4 linked regions of the Drosophila melanogaster genome follow. The protein of the gene in region 1 interacts with the protein of each later gene in a pairwise test. Each region holds a gene or a part of one and is shown on either strand. Other genes may lie near its edges.

Evidence for each region.
Region 2: the proteins of Ald1 (region 1) and CG30122 interact in a two-hybrid assay, tested with the Drosophila melanogaster proteins (one large-scale study listed by BioGRID).
Region 3: the proteins of Ald1 (region 1) and CG14567 interact in a two-hybrid assay, tested with the Drosophila melanogaster proteins (one large-scale study listed by BioGRID).
Region 4: the proteins of Ald1 (region 1) and CG13510 interact in a two-hybrid assay, tested with the Drosophila melanogaster proteins (one large-scale study listed by BioGRID).

What each region holds. Positions count from the first base shown.
Region 1 is NT_033777.3:26,254,795-26,264,437, forward strand, and holds Ald1 (aldolase 1), read right to left. Parts: upstream 6,798-9,643; 5' UTR 6,542-6,797; exon of another isoform or gene 6,360-6,541; intron 6,320-6,359; exon of another isoform or gene 6,108-6,319; intron 5,042-6,107; exon of another isoform or gene 5,008-5,041; intron 4,420-5,007; exon of another isoform or gene 4,193-4,419; intron 3,486-4,192; exon of another isoform or gene 3,248-3,485; 5' UTR 3,227-3,247; coding exon 2,431-3,226; intron 2,339-2,430; coding exon 2,139-2,338; intron 1,830-2,138; coding exon of another isoform or gene 1,734-1,829; exon of another isoform or gene 1,680-1,733; intron 1,514-1,679; coding exon 1,418-1,513; 3' UTR 1,172-1,417; downstream 1-1,171. UniProt on the Drosophila melanogaster protein: Enzyme of the glycolytic pathway. Glycolysis is essential in glial cells but not in neurons; neurons rely on the citric acid cycle for their energy needs, and on lactate and alanine secreted into the hemolymph by glial cells to fuel it.
Region 2 is NT_033778.4:18,631,989-18,641,580, forward strand, and holds CG30122 (uncharacterized protein), read right to left. Parts: upstream 7,283-9,592; 5' UTR 6,973-7,282; coding exon 6,831-6,972; intron 6,630-6,830; coding exon 5,859-6,629; intron 5,752-5,858; coding exon 4,900-5,751; intron 4,834-4,899; coding exon 4,352-4,833; intron 4,284-4,351; coding exon 4,155-4,283; intron 2,954-4,154; coding exon 2,782-2,953; intron 2,298-2,781; coding exon 1,438-2,297; intron 1,376-1,437; coding exon 1,204-1,375; intron 1,140-1,203; coding exon 1,066-1,139; intron 999-1,065; coding exon 834-998; 3' UTR 340-833; downstream 1-339. Other genes in the region: CheA56a (chemosensory protein A 56a), read left to right, coding at 8,206-8,259, 8,326-8,814; Ntan1 (N-terminal amidohydrolase 1), read right to left, coding at 9,459-9,584.
Region 3 is NT_037436.4:21,736,212-21,741,432, forward strand, and holds CG14567 (uncharacterized protein), read right to left. Parts: upstream 2,220-5,221; 5' UTR 2,124-2,219; coding exon 1,551-2,123; 3' UTR 1,495-1,550; downstream 1-1,494. Other genes in the region: CG14566 (uncharacterized protein), read right to left, coding at 3,555-4,055.
Region 4 is NT_033778.4:22,656,075-22,663,978, reverse strand, and holds CG13510 (uncharacterized protein), read right to left. Parts: upstream 6,079-7,904; 5' UTR 5,991-6,078; coding exon 5,704-5,990; intron 5,057-5,703; coding exon 4,954-5,056; 3' UTR 4,268-4,953; coding exon of another isoform or gene 4,002-4,267; intron 3,944-4,001; coding exon of another isoform or gene 3,841-3,943; 3' UTR 3,429-3,840; coding exon of another isoform or gene 3,118-3,428; intron 2,911-3,117; coding exon of another isoform or gene 2,814-2,910; 3' UTR 2,590-2,813; downstream 1-2,589. Other genes in the region: CG4250 (uncharacterized protein), read right to left, coding at 66-234; CG42565 (uncharacterized protein), read right to left, coding at 2,814-2,910, 3,118-3,428; CG13511 (uncharacterized protein), read right to left, coding at 3,841-3,943, 4,002-4,267; CG43325 (uncharacterized protein), read left to right, coding at 7,001-7,362, 7,515-7,626.

The sequences.
Region 1 (9,643 bases):
TTTATAAAACATTAAAAAAATTCAAAAAACGTTGTGCGACTTCAATGTTACAAGCCTCATACATTTAGGTGTTGCTGATAGTGATTGCTGTTGTTTTCACCATAAAATGTGCTTTAGCCTAGCGATTTACGACATATCCTTTTGTTTTCATTGAAATCTTGCATAATCATAATAATAGAATAGAAATGTAATAACTTCAACAATAATAGGTTCATGTGCTTAAAACTAAAGATAAAATTGTTTGAATTGTTGAATTGTTTCTCCATCGAACATATTCAATCCTTTCTTCTGCACTCATCATTTAGTTGTTCTCTAAAATAATGTTATAATATAATAAACTTGCAAAAATGTCACGTACTACATATATATAACATGTTTTGAAAGTGTAATCGTTCATCTTTTTTTTTTTGGTTATTTTTTGTAATGCTTGCTTTGCTTAGCTCTCGAAACTAAGGTAAAAATAAACAAATCTGCCAAACTTTTCCAGCAATCTGCTTCGTATTTTTTTTTTTTGTAGTAACGTGTAGCCAAGGTCCAACCAAACGCCTTAGTAGGCGTGGTTGGCCACGAACAGGGATCCAGATCCGGCACCAGCGCTGCCGGCAACGTACTTGCCCTGAGCAGCATCACCGTTGGCCTGGGGGAGGGTAAAGAAAGCGGGGAAAATTGATTAATTTCGTTGTGAGAAATGCCTACTCCTAATTATTACTTAGTTGTAACTTGGCGAGCCGCAGCAAAAAAGTTTTTCGGCCAGCATGAAAAAGTTTTCACACTGATTTTTGCTGCGCTCGAAGAACTTCCGCCACTTTTTCCACCTGCGGCAATTTTCTAAAAACTTTCCACGCATCCAAGCGCACGAATACATGCTGCGTACTGCGGAAAGTTTTGGAAAATTTAATCTTGCAAGTTCTTTGGAGGAAAATTATGATTCGATTAAATATATGTAACAGCTCTCCGAACGAATTTTACGTTGTTTTCAACTTAACTGTCAGGTACAGATATTCCGAATTATTATTCTAATTAACAGTAGGAAGTTTGCAAAGGGCTTTCATGAATAAAGTTAGACAAGACATTTTTAATTAAAATGTATTTAAATTAAATTAAAAGGTAAAATAAAATCGAATTTTTGTTTAAAGCTAACTAAAGTAAACAAAATCATAAGCAAGGTATTATTAGAAATATATAATTTATTTCTGTTCGCCAAAAATATTTTCTTTAAGGTCTAGTCAGTTTATTCGGTAAAATGTAAAAATGTATAAAAGGAATATATTTGCAGTTCCATTGTTGGAGGAATATAAATGTTGCCCGTCTCACTCCAGCTGGGCCTCGATCAGTAACTCTTGCGGATTATCTGGATTCGGCTTGGGATATAGCTTCGCTCGATTGTGACTCGGGATTAGTGCGTGGCATTTAGGACTTAGTATTTGTGCTGGGCGACAAAGAGGTTGGCATTGCCGGCAAACGACGGAATTGAGCCGGGCACGTAAATACCCTGACAGGCCTGGGAATTGGCCTGTGGAAGCGGGAGGAGAGCGGGATTTTGGTTGGGATTAATCAGATTTTGGGCTTTTGTGGATTAGGTTTAGAGCAAGCGAAGCATGAGTGGCACGAGGACAGTATGTTAAAGGCGTTTGCGATAAGTCGGATTTGGTGAAAGGCGGCTATGATTCTTAAGTTACCCCATGAAAGCTTGTTCATCGCCATCTTAAGGCAGCAATTCTTCAATCCTTTGATCAATACCTGTGGTCATCCACATGCAAAGTATCTTTTCCAGCGAACCCCTTAACCGATCCAGCTGTATAGTTACCACAAGCCGCCTCTCCGTTAGCCTAGGCATGATTAATGTGTGGTTATTGATGATGAAATTAATGTCTCACGTACAAAAGCAAAAAAAGGTTACAAATAATGGTAGGGAAATGAAAGGGATAAGATTAGAGGATTAGAAGAACATTGTGGTCATTTGGGATTGGAAATGGAATCAATGGCTGGGAATATGCTGTATGTTATATTATACATGTATAATATTTCTTAGCCCAAGGAATACTTCCGAAGCATATACCTGACACTCTTAATACATTCACCACTTAAATTGCTAACTGCAATCAATCGTGCATAGATACAACTATCCAAGGACTCACCTTGGCGCGCTTAAGCAGCTCGTTCTGGCCGGCAGCAATGTTCTCCTTCTTGCCAGCCCAGGCACGCAGGACGGAGGCCTGCAGGGCACGACCGTACGAGAAGGTGAGGGCCCATGGGCGGATCAAGGGAACGTTGTTGATGGCACTCAGGTTGACGGTGGCCTCCTCCTCGGACTGACCTCCAGACAGGAAGGTCACGCCTGTAGACAAACAATCGATTAGATAGGATTCATTGCAAAAACAAGGTGAATGCATTCCAATCCAGAGATTACAGTTGGATTTGATGACTCACCAGTAACGGCGGCGGGAACGGTGCGGCGCAGAGCCTGCACGGTGGCCAGGGCGATCTCCTCGGGGGTGTTCTTCTTGGCCGACTGACCGGCGGTGACCATGTTGGGCTTCAGCAGAGTACCCTCCAGGTAGACGTGGTGGTCGCTCAGGGCCTTGTAGACGGCGGCCAGGACGGTCTCGGTGACCTTCTGGGCGCGGTCCAGATCGTGATCGCCATCGGGCAGAACCTCGGGCTCCACAATTGGGACGATGCGCTGCGACTGGCAGATGGAGGCGTAGCGGGCCAGGACATTGGCGTTCTCCAGGATCGACTGGTAGGATGGGGTGTTCTTGCCGATCTTCAGGACGCAACGCCACTTGGCGAAGTCGCAACCGTCCTTCTTGTACTGGGCGCAACGGGCGGCCAGGTCATCCAGACCCTGGGTGGTGACCTCATCCTCAGAGCCGAACAGTGGGACAACACCCTTGTCGACCTTGATGCCCAGAATGATTCCCTTCTTCTTCAGGATCTCGGCGAAGGGGGTGCCATCATCGGCCTTCTGGTAGAGGGTCTCGTGGAACAGGATCACTCCAGAGATGTTCTCGGCCAGCTTGGGGTCAGTGCTGAACAACAGCTGACGGTAGGCACGGCGGTTGTCCTCGGTGTTCTCCACGCCGATGTCCTGCAGACGCTTGCCCATGGTTGGGCCGGACTCATCGGCGGCGAGGATTCCCTTGCCGGGGGCAACGATTTTCTGGGCGATTTCGCGCAGCTCATCCTGCAGCTCCTTGCTGGGGTAGTTGAAGTAGGTCGTCATTTTTGAGATTCGAGTGTAGTTCTGCAGCACGAAGATCCATTTACGTTTGATTTGGTGTGGTGTTATTTTGTTGGATGAAAAAGAGTAGCGGACATTGTGTTTTAATAAGCTAGCTATCGAATTCCGCAGCGGCGCGGATGATTGGAAACCATTGCGTAAGCACAGAATTTTGAAATATTTCGAGGTAAAAAATAAAACTAAAAATTTGGACTAAAATTTCGTATACGATCCGCACAGTCTGACAACCAAAATCAAGTAACTCAAAGTTACATATGTTCCTACTGAAAAAGATAACAACGGCTACAGAGATAGCTATCAATCAAGTGTTGGATTATTTTACTGAACTGACCTAATTATTATTTCCATAAAATAAAAAGAATATTTGTAAAGGTCAAGTTATTTAAAGTGGAACTCTGAGTTAACCGATTAGAGCCATTGAGTCATATGCTGTTGTTTAATGATGCGGTATTATATAATTTTGTTTTCAGTGTCAGGTCAATGTCACTGGTGTTTTTTCCAATTTAAAAATATTTTTCCATTGAAGATAATAAATGCTTTGCATGGTAGTGTATTTCACAGCTGATTCGATGGCAAAGAGCGGGTGATTGAATGAGATTAAAGGCGCATGCACGGAAAACGTGCTTTTCTCTATATCTGCAGCTCTTCGCTCTCTCTCTCTCACATTTTTTTTTTTCTAGGTTTGTCCTACACTCTCAACATTCACATATAAAATGTTGCCTTTTAATAGAGCTTTTTTAGAGGTTCTCACAAACATCAATGAAAATTCACATTTTAGAAAAATCCTCTTGGATTGTACTATACAAAGTTGGAAAAGTATCACTGCACTTTTTGGAATGAAATATTATATAGTGTCTTATTTTATAGTGTCTGTAATTTGCTAAAAACTATTTGCAAAAACCGAACAATTGTTTTAAGCTTAGATCACAAAGAAAAATCCGAACCAACCTCGACGATGATGTTTTTGTAACTGAGCAAAGTCACGGAAACCTCGGCAATAATTCCCTCTGATGTAATCAAAGTCATGGAATCTTGTGTCTCACTCTAACCGAATGCAGCTGTCTTCTTCACACCCGCATAATGCGTGACGTGGTAACTTTCACTTTTATTGCCGCTGCTGCTGCGCTGTTCCTGCAGGCAGCGACGCCAACGCAGGGCGCATGAATTTTCGCTTGACATTGAACAAGGTCAAGCAACAAGCCTTAGCAACAAATGTTGCCAGCGAAATTTGTTGCTTACGAAATGCGAATAGAAATTGTTGAAAACCGAAAGTCGTGTGGCGCGTGTGAAGTGCGATAGAGATAGCTAGTGTCCAGCAATATGTAGATACAGATACGAAGTCATCTGCGATGACTAAAAACCCATTTTATACTTGTTTGACATTGACAGTGAGCCAAGGACTGGGAATGGCATAAATGTCAGGTTAAGAGATTAGACCTCCGCAACTTATCGCGAAATATTGTTTACCACATCGACCCCACATTTCCCACGCCATATATTTAACACTTTGTACACGCGTGAATAGCTTGTGGTTCCTAAGAACAGATAGATATTATAAAAGCTTGATATATGCATATATTAAAAATACTGCACAGTTTAAGAATATATTAATATATCTCTAGAATACAAATCATTTTTTCATCTATTAATTTCTAAACAGTTATCTAAACACACTTCACAGAACGACACTAGATATGTATGTACACCCTTATCTATAGAATTATCTATAGATGTTGCGGATTCACTCAGCAGACAACACCCACCTACACTTGCCGGCAATCAATCGAAGACTGAAATGTTTCGAAAACTAGGCGAAATATATACGATGACAAAAAAGAAAGAGGAACGAAGAGCAGCCAACGCATGACAACAAAAAACAATCAAAATAAATTTACGTTCCTATCAAGAGACCGTTTATAAAAATAAACCGCCACATGTCCGTCTATATGTATTCGTGAGCTTGCTATCAGTGAAAATTTTGAATCGAAAACGACGAAAAAACGAGCCCCCAGTTGCGTTTTAGTTCCAAAGGTTTTGCATTATCATAACGAGATTTTAGGTCCGGCCTCCTTGAACGCAGACAGTGGGTCAAAAGAACATCCAACAGTTGAGATAATACTACTACTACTACTACGAACTGACGTCAACTGATTAGCCGTAAACATGGGTGGTAATAATTGTATACTTGTCTGAAAATAGGAAACTTCGAGCACTCCCATACTTCTATCTATGCCCTTATTATGTGACCCCAAAAACTTTGTTGTGGTAACTGTTTACTAGATAAGCCAATGTACCTTATCTAGTCTTATTTCATCGATTAGCTTATACTTTACAATGAGAATGTATACCTATAATTCCATTATATTCATTATAAAATTTCCCAAAGCTTGATATAAACGATCAAAGGAACATAAATTGGTTGTTTTAAATGTTCAAAACTCTTCTTAAAAATCCTAATCAGGTTGATCTTGAAAGGAAGTCCTTTGGAGTACCAAAACTTGTTTTCTGTAGGTTTCAAAACAACCCTTAAACTTCTGCCCCTCTTTTCTCATGTACTCTCTACAAACTATCGGTAAAATGTTTGCTCTCCTTCATTCACTGAAATCTCAATTAAATGGTAGGTATAAAATGCAATAGACAAAAGCATATTGCGTCTATCATGAGAAGACGTCAACAATCTGATGAATTTACGATGACGTTGGCTAATTGAAGTCTAAGCGAGAGAGCGATGGGAAAGTATACATATGTATATCGCGATGTATAGTACATACATTTAACATTTGCGCCAACTATTTATAAAGAAAAACCGCAGCGGCGACTACAAATTGCAGTTGAAAGCCTGCCAACAAGCAAATGAACTCGAATGAAAGAGCGGATGAAAAGTAAGAGAGCCGGTTGAGCCGGTAGAGAAAACTACTACTCACGAAAGTGAGCCAAAAGTCACCCGATAAGGCTTCTTATCGCCTGCAGTTCGCGTAGCCCCCCCACTCCTTCAACCGCGGTGCATAGGTCAACAACACTCGAGAGCCTCGAGGTTCTAGAACTTGTCATAAAAGTGGCGAGCACGCGGAAATGGTAAGATTAGAGAATAATTAAACTATATTCGAATACGCACTCACTAACACTAACACGCCTACAGATTCGCTGCTGCTCTGTAGATTTGGATTACGAAACACCCAGAGAAATGGGAACGATTACGCGACTTTTCAACTGCACTGCCGCCAATGGGGGGAAAAATATCTGAATTTTTTTTAAGGGGCTCAGGGGTTCTGTTCACTGCGTATGACGCCCACTCACCGAACTGGAAACTGAATCTGGGATGTGGTGATTAGCTGCTGGCTACTGGCTGGGTCCGCTGCTGCTGCTGCACTGGAGGAGAGCGGTTAACGCTTTTATTTTCGGCCCGTGTCGCTGCTACTGCCGCTGCCGATGCCTCTGCTACCGCTGACTGCGGCGTCAACGTGAAATTCCAAAGCGAAATAAGCGAGACATGCCGAGCGAGACCCCAAAAGGTTGTTTGGAGGTCGTCGCCGACGGTGTTGGGCAACCGACTGAGCCAAGCGCTTTAAATTCCCAGATCCCCAAACGAAAGGTATCCAAAATAAAGCTCATTCTGGGAGCTTTTAGTGGGGGATGGAACCTAACAGATAAGCTGTAAAACTTATTAGACAGCTTTGAGAAGCTTTAGCTTTCGTTTGGGCGGTAAAAATTTAAATGAAATGTGCTCAAAGCGTATTAACATAATAAATAATTTATCTTAAGATCTCAAACACTATACGATATATATTGAAATAGTATTGAAATGTTAAAAACAATAAAGTGCCACAAACTTAATGTCGCGTCTTGCTGGATATAGTCATCCCAAATCATCCTCATCAAGTGAACTATATGTCTTGCCAAGCTTTCTTGCCCAAAACTATAAAAAAGCATTAAAAATGAAGTGTTATCTTTGCAAGTATTTGTATCTTTTAACCTGTCAACAACATTTCCTATTCTACTTATGCATTGAAAAGAGGGTAGAATAATTAATTTGGTGTATTTTAACCTTAATTACGAGCGACCTGCTTTACTTGGGGCGGTCAATGAATTTTTCGTGACCATCAGCATCAGGCGCTCCAGCGGCAGCGCAACAAAAACGAGGGGTGCCAGAAGCAGCAGCTAGGATAAGCGACTTTCACGCCATGCCTGACCTCCTGCAATGTTAAAGGACTCAACCCCCTGGCACTGGAAACAGCTGATTGAGAGCGCAAACTTTGAGAAAATATCCCCCTATTCTGCCATACAATCTGTTCGAGCGAAAGAGAAAATCGTTTCGCTCTTTAAAATGTCCTAATATGACTTTGGCACAGTTTTCTGAATGAAAAGAATGACTGTGGAACGGGTTATAACATTTAAAGGATTTTAGATATTTCATAGACTATCTATGCTTAGGTTTCTTTAGTTAAAGTGATACAGTTGCTAGATATATATGAAATAATATGCTTACCTAATGAAGGAACCTTAGCCACAGTGCTCTTCATTGTCCTCGCTCTCTTTGTGCCTCGTGGCTTCGTCCTTCGTCCTGTTTCGGTTCTCGTGCCTGCCTCACTCGCTTCCCATTTTCGTTTGGGGATTCTGGTTCAGTTTTCAGTTCGAATTCGTGCGTCGGTCGGTCGAGTTGTGTGCCAAACGCTCGGCACCTGTCGCCCAACACGTGTTGCGTTCCACTTGCGCTGCGCGTCTCCTTCGCACACCCGCGTACACCGCGGCGTATACGCTACGTACTGTGGTGCAGCCAAAGCGAAATAATTTCTGATTATTCTAGTTATGTGAACCGAAAGTGGAGTGCATAAGAGTCTGAAATTCAAGCACCAGCTGTGTTTTAACTCATATTAAATTAAAGAGGAGATACGAAAAAGAGGAGTGAATTTGTGGTTCAGAAGAATGATAAATTGTTTTCCCAGTTTTGGTAAGAAACGATTTGGTTCGATTTGGTATACTCATTAAAAGTTGATGTAGATCAGATTATAAAGTATCTTTCAAAAAACTACAGAAAAATGTTCATTTCTAAAACTAATATTGATGGAACCCTTTTTTTTGCTTTACAATAAATGGCAAGATTAAAGATTAGGGCAAAATAGCTAGAAAAGTTTTTGATCAACTATAGTTAGGTTATACTATATTTCTATTTATCTAGTCTTTTTGTTAAAGGACATTTGAAATAGTTTTTTCTTAAATTCCATTTTTCTTCTTATAAGAGTTCACGAAAACCAAAAGAATGTGTGCAACAAAGAATGCAAAATAGTTTTCCCGGGGCTTGCTGAGTATTCAGCATACATACCAATATGGGTTTCGTATGCAGATTTCTGCCAGCCAGAGTCATAATATTGAGCAATTGATGAGAGCGCGTTTAGCTTGGCTTTGTGGCACTTGGCTCATTAATATGCGGAAGGCGACACAAAACACTCCCCCACGCCTCCACCCACACATATACAAACACACGCACACACACACAGGGAAAAGCCTCCCCTTCCCTAAACTTGTGTCTGTGTTTTGTCTCGTCCTCATCTGCATTTGCCCAAAATGAGAATGAGTATCCCATAACCGACTGAACAGCATCCTGCTTGCTGATGATAATGTTGATTCCTGCCTTCCGCAACAATTTGCTTTGAACCTAATCCGCCCCTTTTTCTGCCACGCCCCAGTAGCTATAGCTTAACCAAAATTCGAAATTCATACCAGTCTCCGGCTCACATTTCACTAGCTTTTGTTGCGGCATTTATAAATGCTTGTTACCTTTTCCTCTTTTCATTTTTAGTCTTGGTCGGAACAAAGTGTTTATGGTCTCTGGCAGTTTGAATTTTGTATCTTTGTTCAGGAATCCCTCTTGAAATGATACAAATTGCGTTTTCCTATTATTCGTCAGCCTAGATTTGCAAAGCTATTTGGAGATTGAGTTCAATTAAATAGAGAACGTCATTCAATGGAGCAGTATCCGATATGAAATGAAAATGTAGGCATTGCAAACTAATTACTTTTTACTCGATGGGTAAACATTTTTGATTGAAAAATTGTGGATAAAATCTTAAGCATACAAATTCCCAAAAATAGATGTTTCTATTCGAGAATACATATATTGGCTTGTTAGTTTTAAAAACAAATTCAATCGGATGACAACTTAAATGTCTGTACTAAAAAATACTATGTGCGAGTGCTATGTCCAGCATGTTTAAAACAAAAACTGCTCAATAATTTGACATCTGCTAGGCCATTTTTTCTCAAATTTCTTATGGTATTTCGCAACATATGTCGTTTTATTTTGGGTCAACCAATTCTTTTGAGGGATTCATTTGTTTCTTACGCGTGCAATTGGCCTCCACTCGAGCCTAAATTATGCATACAAAAAAAGGGAAATAAAAA
Region 2 (9,592 bases), on another chromosome or scaffold:
TTAGAAAATATTTATTAGCTACAAATATCCTTTGCTTTATTTTTTTGAATTTCAGTTACTCATAGCACAACTTAAGTTTGAAATCTAAGGCAAACTTACTAATTTTTTTTTGGAAATAAAAATATACATTTAAAAAAAAAAGCAAACGTTAGTTTTTAGTTTAATAAAACTGTTTTAAACACTAAATTAGAAAATACATACTTGCAGACTCCAATATTTCTTAAATTGCATTCGGCCTAATGTAAATTTTAAAATTAGCTGTTTATCGTGTTTTAACGATTTGTCCTTTAAAATGCGAGCGCATTACACACCCTTTCCCAGTAATAAGATCGTTTAAATAGATTTTTTCAATGTATAGATTTATTCGTTAATGTTTCTTCTCTAATGCGTTCATTTCAATTGTTTGCGTTGATTGTAAAAAATAAAACAATAATCGTAATAAACGTTAAAACAAGTTGTACTGCCTAGATACGTAGTGCCAGAGTAAAGACCGCGTTTCATTCAATTGCTTCGTCACTGTCATATAGAAAATGCGTTGTGGAAAATGAAAAGCGAAACATTCACGTTCAATTTCAAATGATATATGTAGTCTTAGTTTTGTACAATCCATCCGAAGGTAAGGTAAGAATTTTGACTTAGGGTTTGGTTAGCCCTCGCAATTGTTTGGTTTCGACTAGCCCAAACTGGCTAAACTAAATTAATTTTGTTTTACTGTTCGTTAATCGTTTAAAACTATTATATAAAGTTTAGTTCAGATTTGTGGTTAACTCCTTTCGGGACAACGCAGAGGGGTCTGGGCCTGGTGGAACACGGCTGCATAGTGTTGCTGCATTCTACTTCTTGTCGGCACCCGCATTGGACTGCGTGGAGTACGAATATTGAGACCAGTAATGATTGGCGGCACCGCCATCATTATTGCCAGCGCCGCCGCCGACATTTACGCCTGATCCGCCACTGGCATTCCCAGCCGCTGCTCCGCCAGAGCCCTGCTGCTGCTGCTGTTAAAGAAACAATATCTTTAGTATTCTCGCTTCCAATGACTTTCATAAGACTCCTCCTGCTTACCTGCCACCAGGACATCCACTGTTGTTGCTGCTGCGGATCGGCACTCTGCCAGGCCTGTTGGTTGCCATAACCTGCTGGGAGAATCAACATAACTCGTATAGTCTTCGCCCTTAAGCAGTCGAACACTGCGTCACTTACTCTGCATTTGGTTATAGGCCCAGTATTGTTGCTGGCCCGCCGCTGCTTGCTGAGGTTGTTGGTATTGTTGTGACTGCTGCTGAGTCTGCCAGATGCCCGTTTGTTGATGCTGCGGCGCCTGCTGTTGCTGATGGTGTTGACTGTACGTACTCCACTTGCCGCTAAGGGAGGCCTACAGGAACGATCGAGATCTTAGCCAGCTGTCATGCGTCGAGGATTTGGTCGCACACTTACCTTGCCTCCGCCAGGTGCTCCACCTTGTTGCTTGTACTGATCGTAGCCACCGCCTACAGCGGTGTTATTGCCATACTTGGGTAGCGATTGACCAGCTGACCGCTCATAGCCACCGCGACTATCTTCTTTGGTGTCGCGGTGGCCAGGCCGAAAATCCCGTTGTTGATGAGTACCACCTCCCGAGCGATAGCTACTCTGGCTGCTGCCCCGGTTCCGGTCGTTACTGCCCATTCGACTGCGGTCGTTGCCACGGTCTCGATCGCGATAGTCCCGCGAGCTGCCGTAGCCGCGGTCGTCATACCCACTTCTGCGGTTGTTCTGCATCCAGTTTTGCTGACCACCACCACCACCACCACCACCGCCGCCGCCGCCACCACCACCGCTGCCGCCTGCGTATCCACGGTTGCGATTGTCGTATCCACGACTGCCGCTTCCACCGCCACCATAGCCGCGATCATCGTACCCGCTTCTGCGGCTGTTCTGCACCCAATTTTGCTGGCCACCGCTACCGCTGTTGTAGTTGCGGCGATTGTCGTAGCCACGACTGCCGCCTCCACCACTATTGCTGGAGTAACCGCCACCGCCGCCTCCCCTGCGGGAGTCGCTCCAACGACTTTCGTGCCGCTGGCCGCCATAATCACGACGTCGGTCATCATTGTATCGATTCCGGTTCCGGTCATCACGACGATAGTTGTCGCGACTTCCTCGGGATCTCTTGTCACGCGACCTCTCCGCGTCAATGGCCTTTTTGCCCTTCTCGTTGTACTTCTTGACCTCGCTCTTGGCCTCGTCACCAGTCAGCTCCGTGTAGTTTATATCATCGAACCAGCCAAACTCCAGCGAGGGAAGTGTGAAGTTGGCTGGAAAAAGATTGCGTGTACATCATCAATAAGGCTGCACAATTGCTAAAATCGCTCATTATCATTACAGATTAGGAATTATTGTAGATGGAGTATAGAGGGAAAGAAGGGATCAACTTTGGCAACCGAACGTAAAAGGGCGCAAAAATTTCGATTTTCAAGAAATCCAGTTGTGAATAAAGTCCATCCTTTATACGTTCCAGTTGCCAAGTGGGGGTTGTTATAGAATAAATGTTAATGAATAATGGTAATAATAATAATCAAATTATGAGATATTTTGAAGGGCTTACAGTTACAATTACGTATAGATACATAAAGTGCAGCTGCTTACAAACTAAATACGTTACATAAGTTTTTATAATGTTTTTCATTTTAACAAGAATGCCTCCTTATTTAGATAGGTAGAATAATAAGTTATACGATCGTACATTATTCTGGATTTTTTTTTTCAATTCGTTGCTTTGGTGTGGTGGATAATATTTACCTCGTAAATTATTAATTGTTGATTCTTTAACTGTAAAAGCATTTCCCTTTTCCTCTTTTTCGGCGATGCGACGTTTCAATTCATCTTCGCTGGGTATGCAAACGACCGCAATTCGCTTGAAGTCGTTAAAACCCTTCATTTTACGTCGCTGGGCCGAGGCATACACATTGGTCTACAAGAATACAGTTGGTTGATCGGTTGGTTGGTTGGTGTTGTTTGGTTGAATTGGGTTCAGATTTTGTCTGCCAGTTGTTGTTTGGTTGGATTTGGTTTGGTTGTTGTTGGGACAGTCGTCGAACTTGAGAAACACGTTGATGATACGGCTCGGTTGGAGACCTCGGTCTACCGGGATCGAACCCAACTCGCATTGAGCTCGCTTGCTTTCAGCGCTTATAATCTAACACATACCTGTTGCACGGCGGGACACCCACTTCCCGCCCACACTCCGCCGGCAAGGGAGCGGGGCCTTACGGAAGCGGTGCGCGCACACCAACATAATACCTAGGGGGCGGCGACGGGTTAATGTTAACCCGGCCACATCTAACAACAGTTGACTTAATACTTTGCATAAGGATAACAGAATGTACTATGGGGGAAAAGTAGTCGCGGTTGGCTGTGCTGCTGGCTGTAGGATGAAGCATCGCATAGCTTTCTGTAGATACACATACATATATATGAGAATAGTTGGCATTTAGAGAGAGAGATAGAGTAGAGATAGTAGGTACTAATACGTATATGTGATTAGATTGTAGGCGAACGACTCGTCGATCGGATTTGTGTTTGTCTACTTACAGTGGCATCCATGCCGCTCGCTCCTCCTCCTCCTCCTTCTTCCATACTTTACTTCACTCCATTCCATTACACTCACTCATCTTTCTCCAATGCCATTTCCATATCCATATCCACTTCCATCCCCACTTTTCTTACAATTCCCTCTTAACTGCCCCGTCAACTGTTGCGCCTGCACGTAAAACTTAAGCTAATGGGAAGTCCACAGATACTTACTGCCTCAAACTTAAGCACTCTAATTATCGGATCGACTTACAATTAGGACATACCTGCACGTTGGTGCCCCTTCTAGGGGCACTTGGGCACTCTATTAAGTTAGAGCGATGAGCAAAAAAAAAATGCATACTCAAATGTACAATTAAAAAATATATAGCGCAACATTGCTGTGCCCCGCTGGTGGAACCCCTCAATCCCGAGGGGATCAGAGCCCCAGTGTGTTGGGTGGGCGCCAAAGTCATCATCAACGTATAATTCTCGCTTGTTTCGTTTTGTGTTTGGTTATCGTTCGTTCATAGTGTAATCTTGTGTGTTTGTGGGCTGGTGTTTTGTTTCGGGTGTATGTAGGTCATTTGTTAATGGTTTACCTGATCAAGTATGAAATTTCGACGCCGCTTCATGGCAATATCTTCCAGAGCCGCCAAGCTATTTAAGCATATCTCGTACACCTTGTCCCATCGACCTTTGTGCACAGTCTTGCGAGAGGCGCCATCGATCTGCAAATATATTGGTCAGTACTGAATATCTTCAGCGCCTAGCTATGTACATTTATTAACCAACTTACTGTCATCTTTGAAATGAATGCGTCGGGTCCAATCAACTCGTAACGCTTGTCAGCATTCTCGGCCACATGCTTATGGGCCCAATGGGTCTTTCCGGCTCCTGGCAAGCCAACCAGTAAAATGACTTCGCACTCCTTGCGAGATCCGACGCGTTGTGGACCGGAAACCAGCTTTTCGACAGGTACTAAGCCGATCAATACATAGCCTTCCAGCAGGGCAGCTGTATCCCTTGGCTCGGGCACGACATCCTCGTACTCATCTTCGGTCGTCTGCGACCTGTCCTTTTCCTTTTCGGATTCAGCCTTTTCCGAATCTCCATCGGTTTTGGGTCGCTTGTTCGGCGAGGGGCCATCCTCATCTTCTTCATCATTGTTTTCGGAGGGTTTCTTATCCTCAGATGCCTTTTCATCGTTTGCCTGTTCTGCAGCAGCATCACCATTTGACACAGCTGCAGTTTCTGACGACTTTTCGGTAGAAGTTTCAGCTAAAAGGAAAACCCAAAATATTAGCATTTTGTGGGATAACTGATTTTCAATCAATCATTACTCACCAGTTTCCGAAGCCTCGGTAGCTTCTGATTCGGGCTTAGCAGCTTCAGCAGGAGCCTCGACTTTAGTTTCGGCTTCTGTTTCCGTTTTTGGCGCCGCCTCATCCTCTTTGGCTTTTTCAGGATCTTCGGCTTCCTCTTCATCTTTCTCCGAAGAAGCCTTGCCATCTTCATCCTTTTTCTCCACCTCATCATCATCCGCCGTGGCTTCGTCCAAGACCTTCCACTTCTCGCCATCGTTGTCATCCTTATCGTCGTCCTTATCCTTGTCTTCGTCTTTACGTGGCTTGCGGCGCTTGCGCGTGGGCCTCTCGGCATTCACCAACAGCTGCTCGGTGTCAGAGAAATTCACTAAGTATTCGTAGCCCTTGGTAACGATGTGCGGAAACAGGGCTCCCTCCTCGCCCAGTATGCTCTTCTCAAACTCGAACGCAACTCCAAGATCCTCGCCGTTCAGAGTGTAGTTAATTGTGCACGGCTCACTTTCCAGATCTAAATAGCAGCCGATAACGTCATCCAGCTGGTAAGGCTTGCCGTAATCGGTAAACTCGCTCTGAGTAGCCTTACGCCCGGTCTCGCAATAGCCAAATGAATGCTCGGCCTCGCCTAGCAACAAGGAGCTCTTGGGCATTGAAAATCCCACGCGGAATCCTCGCACATGCGGCTCATCGCGGAAGTAGTGCGAGTTCTCCGGCACCGACTCCTCGGAAAGGCGCACCTCAAAGCACACTTTGCCTTCGCGCACTCCGTAGTTTGCGCGGGCTCCGGACCAAATAAGCGAGTAAATTTCCGATGTCAGGGGTTTGGCCGATGCAAACGTGGTTGGGTCGATGCGTAAATGCAAGTCAGAGTCCACTGGAATATAAAAACAAAGGGATATTAGTTACTGTGAATGATGGATCAAGCTTTGAACGTTAAGGAATGTGTGTATCGAATTCGTTGCAAACAGCAAGTCTACTTACGCCAGCTCAATCCGACTTTGTTCTCCTCGATGGTTGGCTCGTCCTCAGGAACTGTGCGTTCCTCGGCCGCTGCCTTTGACTCACGCTTGTCACCTACGCTGCCGCGATGTTTGGACGAGCGGGAGCCACTGCGCGATCGGGATTTGGACCGACTGTGTGATCGCTTGCGGCGTTCCGGGGGCTGATCCTCAGGCTTAGCTGCTGGCTCGGTCTCCTCCGCCGTTTTCGGGGCGGCCGAATCCTCCTCATCAACGTCCATTTTCTGGCTGTCGCCATTTGACTGATGCTCGGCCACAGTGCTCTCGGCTGGTTTCTCCTCTACAGGCTCCTCAGTTTGTGTAGGTTCCTGCTCCTCAGGGGCAGCATCATGATCCTCTTCCATGGGTTCATCAGCCACTTCATTCTGTGGTACGACGGCGGGTACTGCCTCTTCGATTGTCTCCTGCTTGTCGTCTGTCTCCGACTTTTCATCAAACTCTTCGGGCTCAGGCTGCGACTCCTCATTGACCGCTTGGTTGACGGTTGTGTCCTCTGTCACTGCTGCAGCTGGCTCAGCTTCCTCCGGCTCACTTTGTTCTGGTTCCGGCTCGGCTGCTGGCTGTTCACTTTCTGGTTCTGGCTGTGGCACTGTCTTATCCTCCGGCTGCTCCTCCTCTTCGAGAGTATCGAGCACTGGTTCTGCGGCCACGGGAGCAGCTTGCACCGGCGATGGAGAGCGGGACATAGAGCGCGTGCGACGCTGACGGCGGCTTGGTGTGACCGGCGCATTTTCTGGACGCGGGAAAAGTGAAATGTGATTACTTTATCATTATATAAGGAAAACTTACAACTAACTCACGCTCAGTCGCACACAAACAGAAACCGAAACACAAGCATGACTTGGACGCGGCAAAGCACACGCACACAGTGACACCCACACACATACACACTGGAACAATCGGGCGGTCAAATGACGCATACACACAAACTTACCACCGTCGCCGGCTCCTCCTTCCACATATGCCCTCAGGCGCTCGACGAGCACCGCTTTGACTCCTTTGGTGTCCAGGCCGCGCGACTGGAGCTCGTTGCGCAGGTCCACCACCTTCATCTTCTCCAGCTTCGCCACATCCATTCTTGCGCTTCAATTTGGATTGGCGGCAGAAACACACACGCTTATTCACTCAATGTGCACCGCTGAAAAGCTGGCGATGTGAAAAACTGAATTGGGGGAATTTCGGGCCAAATCACGCTGTCTGGCAAATGACACCCACACTGGAAATGTCACCGTAGTCAAGTCGCAATGGTTGCTAGCACCGTGCGCGCACAATTAAAACGCAATATTCGTTTTTACATTCGCATTTGTTGCGAATAAATAAATGGACCTAAATATTATACCGAACGCGTTGAAGTGAAGTTGGCTGCGATTGGGAAAACGAAAACGTAGAGCTACCGTGCTTGGGTTCGATACTTGTGCTTGGTGGCTATCGATAACAGGCTGAACATCACTAGCGATAGAAGGCGCTTGTGTGCATCAACCGTTTGCATGTGCGCTGCAAGAAAATATTTAATGATTGAATGATTTGTAGTAAATACTATATCAATAAAAATTAATAGGCAAAGTCAATGTTTATTTCAAAACATAATTAATAGTATTAAAACCTGCATAACAAAGTGTTTTTCGTAAATTGACTTTAGGTATAATGGCTGTTTGGCACAGGCATTAACAACGACTCCGTGGCGCAACGGTAGCGCGTCCGACTCCAGATCGGAAGGTTGCGTGTTCAAATCACGTCGGGGTCAAGCAATTGATGTTTTTTTTTCATTATTTTTAGTTTGCAAACTATATAAAATAAATACGAATTTAAGATTTCAAAAAAAAAAAACAGTATACAAAATTTGCATCGGCCGGGAATCGAACCCGGGCCGCCCGCGTGGCAGGCGAGCATTCTACCACTGAACCACCGATGCTTAAATACTAGATGTCTTACCTTCAATATAAGCTTGGATTGCAAATCCATTGGGTCATTTCTATAAATTGCTAAAATAGTTTAAGGTTGATTAATAAAATGTAATGCTGAAATAAAACTAACTTAATACGCAGCGTTGCTAATATACTTATTACGAAAAACTGCATGTTTTTTATATTATACCATTTTCCTAACTTGTTATAACATCCTAACTTCCTAACTTTTGTAACATCGATTGTGGCCATGCCCCTTCAGCAGAACAAGTGCTCATTAACACTCACTTATAATTAAATTTGAAATATATTTTATCGACATGCCATACTCATGTCGCTATAAAATCTATAAGTTAAAGATGCACAATCCAAAATTTCGCAATTGGAGCGTTTAAATTCAGGAATATGTCTTTTTGGTGGATGATACAAAGCCTTTTGATCCTGTGGACAGTGTCAGTGGTAAGAATAAATAAAATAATCAATAAAGAAATTTGTGGCAATAATATATTTATTTTTAATTTTTAGGGATCAAAAAAAAGCAACTATGAAGTCCGCTTTGAGTCGATAGATGCCGTAAAAGGAAGTACCGAAACCCTTTTTCTATACCAGCTACGATTGCTCGGTAGAAACCGCATGATAAATGGAACTCTTATTTTCTTAGAAGACTTGGACGAAACGTTCGACGTCCTTTTCGAATCCCACGCATTTAAAAATGGATATTGGGTCAAGGGAATCGTGAACGCCGCCGCCAGCAAACCCTGCGAATTTTTCAATCGCTACTACATTTCCTTTTTCCTAGTAAAATCGACCGAATCGAATTTACCCACTACCGGTGCTGAAATGTGTCCTTTTCGAAAGGGTACATATTTTGTGAAAAACGGCGTTGTTTCTACCGAAGATTGGCCACCCATTGTCTTTAAAGGTCTTAACAGATTCACCATTTCGTATCTAAAAAATGGCGAATGTGTTGGTGGAGTTCAGTTAACAATTAGTATAGCAGAAATCATCACATAGTCTTAAAAATTTATAATACCACGAAAAAATATATGGCATAAATGAAAACTCAATTATTTCTCTGTGTGTGTGTGTATGTATAGCCAAGCCATTTTTATATATTTTTCTTCTTACATTTTTGATTACAGTTTATAGTTACAGCTAAAATGATTGCATTCGAAATTGTTTCGTTTCGTTTACACGGAATATGCGCATATATATTTAGCTAAGAATCTCTTTTAAATAGTAATAGGTTCTTTAATGGGGTTCACATAAATATTTACATGCACATTTGCACATAGAATTGTAATAATTATTTATCGTTATATATCGCTTTTACGTTCCCAGTTCAGATCCATTTCTAAGGCTCGTCCCAAGCAACCGTCTCCAGCGTCGGAACTCAATCTTGTATCTAATTGAAGAGAGATTATGTATGTCGCATTCATCAATTGCTATTGCTAATCGGCCGATAATTACAGCAGATACAAATTAATCAGGAAATCAATGACAATTACAGCCGAATACAATCAACTTAACGATCAAAACTTAAACAAAAGGCAAGCAGAAGCATTTGCGGTGGACAGCGACAATTAACACATGCACCAGTCAATTAACACATCTGCGACATTTTCGAACTGCGTAACAACTAAACACTAAAATAAGCTTTAATATCTAACCAGCACCCAGAAGCCCGTGGCGTCATCCCGCCGGAAGTAGCGCGGCCGATTGTCCCTGAAAACGGTGACGGCGGGGAACTGATTCTCCTGTATAAACCTAATGGTGGCACGCGTCTGCAATT
Region 3 (5,221 bases), on another chromosome or scaffold:
TCTCAATAATGATTTTCAAACTGAAAATTATGAAAAAAAAATCGCCAACCGTTCAACTAATTCCTTCGTGTCTTAGTTCTTCGATTGCTTAATAGTTTAGAAACCAAAAGGGCTGCTGGTCCAAGGGCGGCTGTTTCAAGTTGGACATGGCTGACAAACTCCTCTGACTTGGAGGGCAGAAGCCACAAAAAGGACGACCTTTGGGGTGATCCATAAAAAGCTTGATAATATCCTGTTGCGAAGTAAAGGCTCTTCAAATCTTGTACATTTTAAAATGTTTGGGCTCCTTTAATCACCTCCCCAATTGTATTACACTTATTCAGCCAATAACCTGCACCATTTTTTAGGCTACTCATTCCTTTAACACATACCAATATTACATGGTTTTTTCTTAACCTAACCAAGTACTGCAAGTAACACTTATCCCACAGTCGCAGCATCCTCCTTATTTGAACACAAGTTTGTTTCTTTCTATTTTAATGAACATCAAATTTATAGTAAACATTTAAAAGTAATGAAGTGTCTCTATGCGCACAAAGTTGTGAATTTGCATCCAAATAGGGAATTAATTTACATTCTATTGTGGACGTAGTGGTTGTGGGGGTGACCATGGGCGAATCCCAGAAATAACACATTTCTGAAATTTGATTTTGCAATTCTTTTATCACACAGGTTTATATTTTATAACCTTACTTTGTAAACGAAAATCATTTCGATGTATATAAGTACAATATGAAAAAACGCTATAGTCAAGTTGCCCGAATGTCAGATACCCATTACTCAGCTTGTCGACGAGCGAACGAGAAATTTCAACATTTTTCTGGCATCAATATTGGAAAATATTAAAAAAAAAAATAATACAATTTCAACATTTTTCACAAGTGTGGGTATAACAGTTTGAAGCGTTTTGTGGGGGAATAGACACGCCCCTTTGTCTATTATGATGTGGTATACCGATATAAAATACAATAAAATAGAAAAATCAAAACCCTTTTTAAAAGCGTTTAACTTTCATACGAACGAACAGACTGACGTGGCCAGATCGACTTGGTTAGTGATTCTGTTCAAGAATATATATACATCATATGGTCGGAAATACTTCGTTTTACCTGATACATACTCTCTTCGAGTCTAGTACACCCGTAGAGTAACTAAGAGCTTTCTAGCTTAAATTGTTTCTGAGATCACATCACTGCGGCTGCTGTATATACACGAAGAAATTAAAATCTGATTTGATTGTTCGATCTGAACGAGGGAAAAAATATATGGATTGAGAGTACTTGACTTTTTTAAAAAGTCGAACGACTATGTTTCTGTTTGGTAATATGTAATGTTTAGCTTGTAGATTATTTCTTTTAAGGTGATCAAAGCCTACTGTTGTTAACTAATTTTCAAGCCATCAATCTTATCAACTTTGAGTTGTTTCCCTTATCGTCACCTATAAACACAAATCTTGCTTTTCATTATATAAAATAAATAGGTAATTCTATATTTAAATTCGCACATATTTGAGTAAGTAAAAATCTCATTGTTGTTATTAATTTCAATAGTTAACCGCGGAAGAAAGATGCCCGCGTCTCCAGGCCACCCACATTCGGTCTCGAGCTATTCCGATGGGCCTCAATGGCCTGGTAATTAATGAACCAGAAGGGCTGCTGCTCCACGGGCAGCTGACTCAAGTGGTTGACCCACTCGCGGTCACCATGGGCATCGATGGGCAGCTGGTTGAAAACGGGGGCCACTGATGTTGCGGGTCTTCCGGCTGTGGAACTGGTGGGCTGCGTTGTGAACTGTGGACTGTCCTCTGCTCCAAATCGGTTGGCCACTGTGGGAGCCGCCTCCGCAGCAGACCCACTTATTGGCAGTACTAGGGGAACTCCAATCGGCGGCTTCTGGGAGGCTCCAAACGGTAGATTGACTAGAGCTGGCCTCTGCGAACTGGATGGCTCTCCAAATCTCGTAGCTATGTCCACTCCGGTGATATTCTCGACGGCTGTGTTTTGAGTTGCGTGGTACTTGTCCTTCTGACTTAGTCCACCTGGTGGCCTCAATCCCGCAAAGGAGGGCCGTTGGGCTCGAATATTTTCCAACAAAGTCATGGCAATGATGGCCACGGCAAACATTCGTCTCAACATTGTTGCAATGAAAATTTCACTTTCTGCACGCGTTTCTCCGGCAGCTTTACTCGAAGTAATCCGGTCTGATCTTCTACGACAACTGAGTACAGGCGGCTGGGAAGATCATTTAAATAAGCTTTGGCTCTCTGCTCCACAGCAGCTTTTCTTCAAATCAAACGAGTTGCACAGAAAGAAAAATTTATTATTATAAATTGCGTTTTTAAAGTATCCAAGCTAAATATGAATTTCACTTCGTATATCAAGGGAAGGCAAATAAAAAGTGAAGGCATTTTTAATAGTGGTTAAAAAGACGTATATATGTGAAACTGCATAGTTTCTTTTCGGTGTATACTATAGTAATGACTTTTAATGCGACTAATTAAATGTTCAATCTTGTAGTAGTTGTATTGTGAAGATATAGGTATAGGTGCTTTATTGTCGAAGGGAATAATTCCTTAACTTCCTTACTTTGTGATGTGTAATGTGCTTATCTTAATGGCGAAAAATACTCTTGCTTCGACCCTTGACAATTCGCGAACATTTCAAATTTGAAAATGCAATTAAATGAATCATTGAATTTGGTGATTATGTGTGCTGGAATATAGTTATTCTTCCGGATAATTCCTAGAGAACTTTTCCTCATAACTTTTGTTTTGAACTTTTTGTCATATTTATGATTCCATAAGTGCAGTTAATGTTCTTAATGTTGTAATTATTCTTTTTACCGTGCTGGAAACCATTTTAACGTGCAGTTTTTATTTGAATTTCTTGTTATCATGTTTCTATAAGAAAAAATAATTTGTTTTTCATTATCTCTCTTTTGAAACCTCTGAATTTTTTCCCACACTGATTACCCAGACTGCCCTGGATCGAGTTCAAGATTAGAGTATTTATTTTTCACTCGGAGCTCAGACTGCCGTATTTCTTGTTTTTTTTTTTTGCGGTCGGGGCAATCCCAAATTCGTCACCAGTTTGCGAAGCGTGCGTTCCCAAACCGGTTCCAGGTCTTCCCCTTTACCCACTCTCTCGGTGACCAATAGCTTCTTGATCAAGTTGGCTGAAAATTGGCTTTTGGACGCGTCTAGGAAAGTTTCTTTCCCGTCTGTACCGAAGTGATTCACTGGTATGACTGCCAAAAGAAGTTCGTTTTATCTCGAAACCAGATTTATTTGCATTATATTATAATCGGATGTGTGATTTTTTTATGTGTAGAGTGTGGGATCAGGTGAAAAAGAATTTCTGTGTGTGTTTTTGTCGTCATCGTGGCTGGTTGGATCGTCATGGGTTTTTGTTTTGAGTTGGCTGCTGGAATTGCAAGCAAAATAGAAAGAAATATTTAAAGGATCTTCTATATGGTTAATCATTTCATTGTTTATTGTTTTTTTGGTGTTCAAAAGTTATTCTTGATGAGTTCTCAAAGCCTTACCTGATTTTCACTTAGAAGCGTCGCACGGTGGAGCGGGCAGCACTCAATTTGGCCGGACGAGCTGCGGCGGAAAGTGGACGGCGATAGGCCACGGGCTTAGCTACTCTCCGGTAGTTGGCGGCCCTCCTGGCAGCTACCAAACGGGCCTGCTGCTCCGCCGGAATGTCGGCGGCAGCGGGCAGATCGTTTCCGGTCACGTCCGGTGGGCCGTAGACCTCGTCGGGAACGCTGTTAGGAGCAGCATCGGGCGGTCCATAGACGGCATCCGGTGTGGGCCCGGCGGCCGAGGGAGCAGCAGCCTCGTCGAAGGGCACTTCCGGCTTCAGCTCATCTGCCGAGGGATAGGGTGTGACGGCATCCGGATCAGCTGCGTCAGCGGGAGCCAGCTCCTGCCGAGCGGAGTACCTCGAACGTCCGCGGCTTAGGCGCTGCGAATAGCGCTGTTGCTGGGCTTGGGAAACGGCCAACAGGCTGAGGGCTGCAGCAATAAGGATAACCTGGAGCTTTGCCATGGTGGAGATTGATGGATTCAAGTGTATCTGTGGGAAGGCTGAACCAACGACTGATGACTGGAAGAGCCTCCATGGGCGCTTTTATAGGTAGGACTTGGATGGGCACCTGTTTAGTGTGCGGCGCGTGGACCCAGCGTGGGCATCCTTTTTTGGACCTACGGTCTGACGTCGGCACTCCACTATGGTCTTGGTTACCCACGATCGGCGGTGTCTGCGGCGTCTTTATGCGCCCACGACGTGACCAGAAATAGGAAGCAGATGTAGATGTCCGAGGTTTCGCCAGAAATCAGTCCAAAATCTGAGAGTGTCTCCACCTCGATTAAACCAATCGGTCAACATTAAAACGCTCTTAATGTGATGGACGGTGAAATTAATGGCTAGTCGTAAATTTTGGAGCGAAGTTAAAGGATATTGGTTAAATGGAAGCGGACAAAAATCTATTTTAGTCCAATGCCCGAAGCCTTGAAATATTTAAAACTTATGTTGTACTGAATTTAATTATGGCACCTAAAAGCCATTTATTATATAAATAATATATTTTATAGTTAGAATCACCCTCATACTCAACTTAGATAACTTATTGGTTTAAAAAAATCAAACGATTTAAGACTTGCTGACAATATTGACAAATTTGTATAAAGTAAAACAAATTTGTAGTTGAAGTAATTTCTTAAATGCAATTTAAAACTAATTTGTATATATTTTTGCTTGCACCTATTATTTACATTTAACCATCCTCACTTTATTTCATGTAATGATAGTTCAGGACGTGACATAAAACAATCGTTTGGGGAACGGGCTTGGTGACCTTGGCGGTCACCTCAACGCCAAATCGTTGATCGCATAAATATTGATTATAAGTGTTTAATCAAAAATTCTAACGCTCAAGCTGACAATTTCAGCATAATGCAATTGACAACAGTTCACTCCGTTTTCGCTTTCAACTGGCTGGGGATTGGATTGCGTGTCACGTACGAAACGCATTTAATTTTCAAAGAACATGGCGAATCGGACGTGGACATCGGACACCAGTTGGCATTTGGAGACCGGTGATAATGTGGACGATGTGGGCGATATGGGCGCTATGGTGGAGATATGAGCTGGCAGCGGACGTGGTTTTGTCGGCGGAGACCAGAAACAAACAAAAGGCTATGCAAATAAATCAT
Region 4 (7,904 bases), on another chromosome or scaffold:
CACGATTGGATTTCGTATAATATGCGATATTATATTTTATGTTTGAATTGCACAGAAGAATTGACCATTATTTCCGATTGATTCATAGTTCTCTGTATTCTCACCCTGCAATATCACTCCCTGTCCCTGATGGAGCTGAGGATAGACCTGCTGCGGTGCGCTATCATAACTGGGCGGTGCCTGGAAACCCGGAGCCTGAGGCTGCATATTCTCGTATTGAAAGTTCTTCTCCATTCTAATTATTCCGACCGATGTGTGCTACGCGTTTGAATTGCCGACAGCGACTGAAACCGCAGAGAGCTCCTCCAACATTGCTCGGCGAACTTTCGAGTTGCGGCGCGATGCGAATTCTATATAGCCCTACTATGTCGGATGGCTTGCTAAGCGATTTCCGTTAAATATTATGTGGCTATCAGAATAAGGGCTTTTACATGAGTAAGTGTTCTTTTTTTTTTGCAGGATGAAAAGCTTTAGTAAGAAATTGCTCAGCCATGATGAATTAATTAATATCAAAACTTACCAATAAAACAGAAATGTTAGCACTTAGTAGGGTATTCCATTGTCAGGTAAACAAACCAGTAGCTTTTACCCTTCCGAAATGGTCCTTCCAGCTATGCTATTAGCACGTATATAACAACAATTTGCATATTTATTGAAAACATAAGAAATACTCAACTCTGCTCAAGAATTGCGTTGTCTCTAAAACAAATCAACCCCCAGGTAAAATCCACTCGTTTCTTCCTTGAACCCTTTTATTGGTGTGCTGAAGAATACATATGCCGGCACTACAATGATTTGTTTTGTTATCAAAATAGTGCGTAGTAATAAATGTGAGAGAGTTAAAAATAGATCAAGTGGGGATAAGTAATGGGGGCTGCATTTCGGCACGGCTGCTGGCTGCAGTCCACGACAAAAAAAAAAAAACAACTTCCGGCGGAAGTTGCTCAGCGCTCGTAGGTGCCAATGTAGGCGTTGCAAGATGGACAGTGGTGGTCGGAGTTCCGGGCGCATTGAGTGCAGTACAGGCAGCAAGCAGGGCCAAAGGCTGCACGAAAGAGATCACTCAATGAGAATGCACCCAGAATGTTAAGAAATCAATATCGAACATGGCTTACAAGGTAAGGCACATAATCAATGCTATCAGGTGAGTCTTGGTGGTGGCTTTCGGCTCCACACGAGTGGTAACCTGTTGACGGCAACTGGGGCAGACCACGATGCACGGTTCCGGGCCAACGGAAGTGGACATTTCGATGGCGGAGCTGCAGAAAGAAAGCACAGGAAACTCTAATAACTCTCATATTGATTGCAGCGCAGACCTTGAAAACTTGAATACGTCGCGTGCCGCTGGTGCATGAGCATTAAATTGGCTGGTTAATGGGGATTTTAATTGCACACCCGCCATGCAAAACAAGCTGTAATCCGCCTTATCTCCCGTCGATGGCACCACGGTGCTGCGCAATCCCTCCTGCCGCCGTGAGGTCATCCTCGTGGGCCACGGAATCTCTTGTGCCATGTGGCAAGCTTCGTGCCGACGCCGTCATCGCACAACCGCGTGTGTCTGAGCCCCGCTCAACCCCGATTCCATCCATCATCTTTGCTCGTCGTTTGGTGCAACTTGCTTGCTCGGTCTGGTCCTATCCAAAATCAACACAATCTATTTATGTATGTTCTCACTAGCGCAAACCACCCAGCACAGTATCCTTATTTAACAGCGGGTGTGTCCGTCGCCAGTGATTAACATTCCCCCCGAAATCCTACTGTCGTCCTGTATGTCTTTGCTGAGTTCTCCCCCAAGCAAAAGTAAATTTTTTGGGGAGCGGCAAAGCAGCGGTAAACATCTAAACAACCAGATATTACCCAATTAGACCTGACTATAATAGTCCGTTGCTCATGTTTGACCCAATCCTAGGCTTGCATAATATATCTCTCCCGTCATACTTACAATCTGTATGGGTGGGTACGTTGTCAAAATAAATAAAGTAGAATTCCGATTTCACAGAGAGACAAAAAGTTAATGCGCACTGTTTGGGCTGCGAAAGTGTTGTGCGGTCAGAAGTTTAGGGCGCGAAGCGGGACACTACACTTCCAAAAGTATTTCCGTTAGCAACATTATGTTGCCTAACTGGGAAGTGATATTTATATACATCCTTAAAATTGATTACAGCGTATCCCTAGGCTGAGTTAAATTAAAATCCTTTTATTCCATTTCTTAAGAACTAAACATTTAGCAGAAATTCAAATATTTTACTAAATATTCAATTATAATGCAAAGAACTTCAGTGATTTCATTTAATAGCATGAACAGTAATCTTGAAGCATCTTAGCATCAATTTAAACTGTGCCAACATGCCGGTTCGTCCCAGCAACATTTTACCGGTTCAAAACAGTTTCATATCAACATTTATTGCTGGACACAAAAGAGTTGTGCTACGAAAAAGTTTCGGGAAAAGACCGCCAAAAAGTACACAAAAACAAAAAAAAAAAACGTATGAACAATTAAGTTTCACATTATTTTTTCTGCAAATCTAGTTGTCTGCAGCAACAATGTAGCCAGATACCCAGAAACAGAAATTAAAGAAAATTCCATTCGCTTCAAAATCTATTTGTTTATTTTTTCGCTGTCAGCTTATTTTGCTCACTAAGCAAACATATTTTTATGTATGTTAAGTGATGAAGACACCACATTGACGCCGTCGATACATAAGGAGATATGAACATACATACATATATGTATGTATAGTTGGTTATGTATATATATATACATATATATAAAATGAAATGATATGAAATCGGCGAGTGTTTTCGCTGCGTCTTCAAAACGAACCCAAGCAGGAGTTGCAGTTGGGACAGTACTGGGAGGTCTTGTAGCAACAGTTGCAGCAGCAAGGGGCGCAGACGCAGGGCCAGCATCTGGTGGATAGAGATGGGAAATAGAGTATATAGCTTATAAGGCACGATCAGCAATTTCTCATAGCTTGTCCAGGAAGAAGCAAAACAATTGCGGCCACAGATATAGCAGACTAGTAAAAACATTTCTTTTTCCGTTTGCTTACATACACATTATGTATGTACAAACCTTTGTTGCTATACTTGCAACCATAAATGCGATCTACTTACAGGAATAGGCAGAGCAACGCCGCCATACAGTAAGTTGATCCGGTAGGATGGTGCTCCACGCGAAGGCGAATCCGAGCGTTGCAGTGGGGACAGATCGTTCCCTGGCGGGTATTGTCCACCAGCACTGTCGTCTGGTGATGCATCACGCTTACGGGCTGCAACACCGGCATGGTTTGGGCCATCACGGGTATCACCGGATTGGGATGTGCGGGCGACGCCAGGTTCTGCTGCATGACGTCCTCCGCTGGAGGAGCGGTGGCGAATGGATCCGAGTAGGGCGGCGGGGAGTCTACGCGCTTGTAGCAACGCATGCTTTTCTATACTCTTCAAATCACACTAAAAATATCAACCAGTTGCTTACAGCTGCGAACGAGCACTGATATAATACTGAAAGCTTCCGTATATGTATATCGATGACAGTTTCATTAAACTCAGAACTGCCTTATCGGTATCGGTATTCAATTGATTCGCTTTCCTCATATTCTGGGTATTTATCCTAATACGAATATAAAATCTATCTACTGGCACACTAGGTGAGGAAATTATGGACCAGAAAAGATTACTTCATATGTGCAGTGAGAGTAGTAGAAACCATCCGTCATTAACAAAAAGAACTTAAATTTAAAACGTTATTATTTTATGTATCTGTATACATATATGGCTAATCTTGATTAAGTCTTGACATGGAAGGCATTTTTGGCAGTGCGGAGACACAGCACTTGATCAAATGCTATAGCTCCCAATGTGGCATCCACAGTTGGGACAGTAGTGCTGGACACTCTTGCAGTAGTTGATGAAGTAGGGAAGGCAGATGAAGGGCCAGCAGCTGGAGAATCAGGTTAGCAAAGTTAGTAAGCCCGGTGGTATCCTGACGCCCCACTCACCAGCAGATATACAAGGTCAGAGCGCACATGTGGGTCTTGCGGGTGGGGGACGTGGCCAGACTGGTGGTGACCTCGCCCCTGCAGGACGGACACCTCACCCTCATCGGCTTGCAGCCCACAGCCAGTGGATGTGCGCCCGGCCCCACTCCGTTCAGGGTGTAGACGGGTATCTGGGTCACCACCACCCCATAGTTTGGCTGCGTGGTTACGGTCACCATTTCCGTGTCGGCCGGTTCTGGAGCTCTGCCCATCCATGTGCTGCTCATGTTTGCGGCGGGGCATGCACTGAAATAGCCCGCCATTTAATGACAACATTGCTCTATCGCAATCGTTATCTTTTCTGACTAATCGACAAGTACTTTTTAGGTGAAACCTACTATGACTATGACGATATGGAGGGGTACAAGAGGAGTCGGCCAGTGCAGTACCTAATCGATTGACATTCGGTTCCAGTAGCTCTGTGCCATTTGGCCATTTCCAGTTGTTGGCTTGAGTAGGTGCCAGAAGGGTTTATGTTTCCTAGACAACAATTGATATAGTCTTAGCTATTTATGATATTTATGATCCATTTTACTGATTACGGTTTTTAAGCGATAGTAAAAAGTAAAAAGATTGTTTTAAAATGGTCATTAAAATGTTGGCGTTGGTTTCTCGTAATGATCGATCGAAATTGTTTAGTACCAGTACAAAATGTAGTGGAAAATACTAAATAATGTCAACATTATCATAGACATTTCTGAAAATATTAAATTACTTCATAATCCATTTAGCGGAAAGAGTGCCTTGTCCCAAGATATCTTGTCGCATTTCTGTTTCCTGTGTGAGTCTCATGAGTTTAATGTGTGGCGTTCGTACATGTGTATTTACAGTTCAATTTTTCTCGGTTATGACGCTAGTGCTTAGGGTTCTCTATAGGTATATACGTTTGTATGCATAAATAGGCGTTAGTTAGTTAGTTCTCGTAGGTGCCGATGTAGGCGCTGCAGTTGGGGCAGTAGTGGTTGGCATTCTGGCAGGAGTCCATGCAGTAAGGTAGGCATACGCACGGCCAGCAGCTGTGTGGATAGAGTGGAAAACGAATCGATTAGATAAGTTCGGGGAATTAAACTATTAGTCAGAGCACTAATTCCGAATTGGCCTTTACGACGTCTACAGGCCGTAATCAGTCAGTTTGCTTGCTTTCACCCCGTCTTTCCACTCGGATTCGTTATCTGACTCAACTCCAGTTCCAGTTGAGATAACAATGTTTTCACATATTACCAGTACACACAGTCGCAATACCTGTAGAAACCTATTGTTTTTTCCAAGCGATAAGGGGCCGCAAGTGGTTCATGGGCGTAGCTTTTTAACATTTAACCGAGCTATTGTAACGAGTTGGCAATAAAATGGTTATAGAACATTTCTGCTTGGGCGATACGAAAACATATCTAGATTGTTAGGATATCATCTATAGGATATCATATCATCTATGTATATTACTGAATTTAATAGGCAACATATCCGATTTGTATTGCTTTTAAAAATGGTTTACTCCATTTTGCGCAATTTTATAAAAAGGTCATTTGACTGGATTAATGAAGCACTAAGTCCCCCCTAAGATACTTTCGTTGGCCCAAAGCTCCTGAGACCAATCAACATACATACATACATATGGTGGCAAGCAGTGACTTCAGATCAGATGACTAGTGACTATAAGACTCACATGAACAGGCACAGGATGAGGGCCCAGCAGTGCGTCCTGCCGGAAGGAGTGGACTTCACGGTGGTCAGTACTTCGGCGTGACAGGAGGGACAGCGGATGCGGGTGGGTCCACTGCCGATGGGCACCAGGTTGGAGGTTGTGGTGGTCTGGATGATCACCGTTGAGGACTGCGGTGGCTGCGGCATCGGTGGGTACAGTGGTGGCTGGGTGGGGCCACCGGGCTGATAGGTTTGTGCGGGAGTGTATCCGGACTGTTCACTGTACGGTGGAGGCTGCTTGCTGTCCATAGTTTCGGATTATGTTTCTTCTTGATGCAGACTCTGGATTTCCGGCCGAACTGAACCGATCGCTTTGCTGGCTGGCGTTGCACTGAGGAACGAACTTAAACTGTGGCTCCCGCAATACCTCAACGATTGGCTACTATCTTATCGTCGAGAGGTGATAGCTACCATACAAGTGGGGTTTCTGTCGAACTAATAATCGGATACCTCTTTTATTGTGCACTTGATTTAGTGAGCTACAGCGATGCTTCTCCTCCGAATAGGCGACAGATGAGTCACTTGTTTGATAACACCTTTATTGCATATAAAGGCAATGAATAAGGCCAAAATATACATATGTAACATTTAGTACGTGTATTTTGCGAGGAGAGAGTATAAACAAACACAGGTTGTCGACTCGAGTGCTCTCGCCATAATATAATATTTTTGTAATTTACCAAATGCGTGACCGGTTTATATATATGTACATATGTAGATATGATTCTTTGCCAGTTGAAGCATCATCATTCCATTTGTGAAGCCTTTATTTTTTTTAATTATTTATTGGATATTGGATATTAATGTGTAACTTGCTTAATTTGTGATTAAAAATAATATATATATTTTCCGTGCTTGATACTATTTCCTGAAAAACCTTATGAAATGTCTTAATTATTCAAGTCAAAATAAAAACAGACTTCGATCTTCAATGGGTTAAGATAACTGTGTATATTTTTTATAGAAAAAGCTCCATTTACCACCCACTCGCCGGCAGCTTTGTGGAAGCTTTCCTCATGGGATCTACGTTCAAGTGCAGCCGTTAACATCGCAACCATGAAAATAGTGTTAGGCAAATACGGGGGCTTGACAAACAGATGAACAACTGGTTTGTCTAACTCCCCCCTCAGCCCAAAAAATATAATAATAAATCCCCCTCGCCAAGCGATAGCTGTTTGACTTATGTTTCTTATGTTTCAATTGTAAAATAACCCAATTTATAGGCAAATAGAAAACCCGAGTCGAGTCAGTTCAACAACATGAGCCGTCAGCTAAAGTTCCACCTTCAAGCTCCCGACGACGAGGAGTTCGCAGCGGATCTGGTGGAGATTAACCTGAACCCCAACTGCGGCCAGGTCAAGCAGAAGTCGGCTCAGGCCTTGGACCAGCTGCTCCTGGCCACGCCCCCACACAGAGGCTATCCCTACGGCTATGCCGAGGACTCCGAGCCGGATACCTACTTCTGCCGGAAGAGCAACTCCACAGGCCAACTGGCCGAGAAGGTATCACCTCCGCCGCCCGCTGCCACCAACATTAGTTGCCTCCGCCAGATGTACTGTCCGGAGTGCCACGAGCGATTGCACGAGCAGGGAGTCCGCCTGGAGCGACTCCTTACCATGTGGTGAGTGCAAGGCCAGGACATTTCTTTAAAGTAAATTCTTAGGATGGAATATAAATAAGATTATTTAATCGTAGTATAGGGCTATTAGGATAATAACAAAGATCGGAAGTATTTATATTTCTAATTCAGATTATTTCCTTATCCATTTCCAGCTGCTTTGCCCTGCTGCCCATCTATCCCTGCTGCCCGAGGCGCTCCACCAACGATTGCAAGGTCATCTGCGGCAAGTGTGGTTACCTCTTGGGGGCATGGAAAAGACAGTGAGATGAAGGGATGGGGGTCGTGGGTTGGGGCAAACGGAGTGGGTGCTCCGCTTATAATTGTTTGTTTTGTTTAGTTTTTAAGCACTTTTTGTTGACCTTGCGGCGAGTGATGAGCGCTGCTGAGACTGAAGAGCCGAGTGCCAAAAAATTGTTGATTGCTGCATGATTCTCTCAGTGGTTTCTCTTCAATTAGATCTCTTTGGTCAGATAGATCTCTTTTTCGAATTTCACTGCCTCGGGATTCGCCAAAATGTTTAGCACTTGACGCCGGCCAGTCGC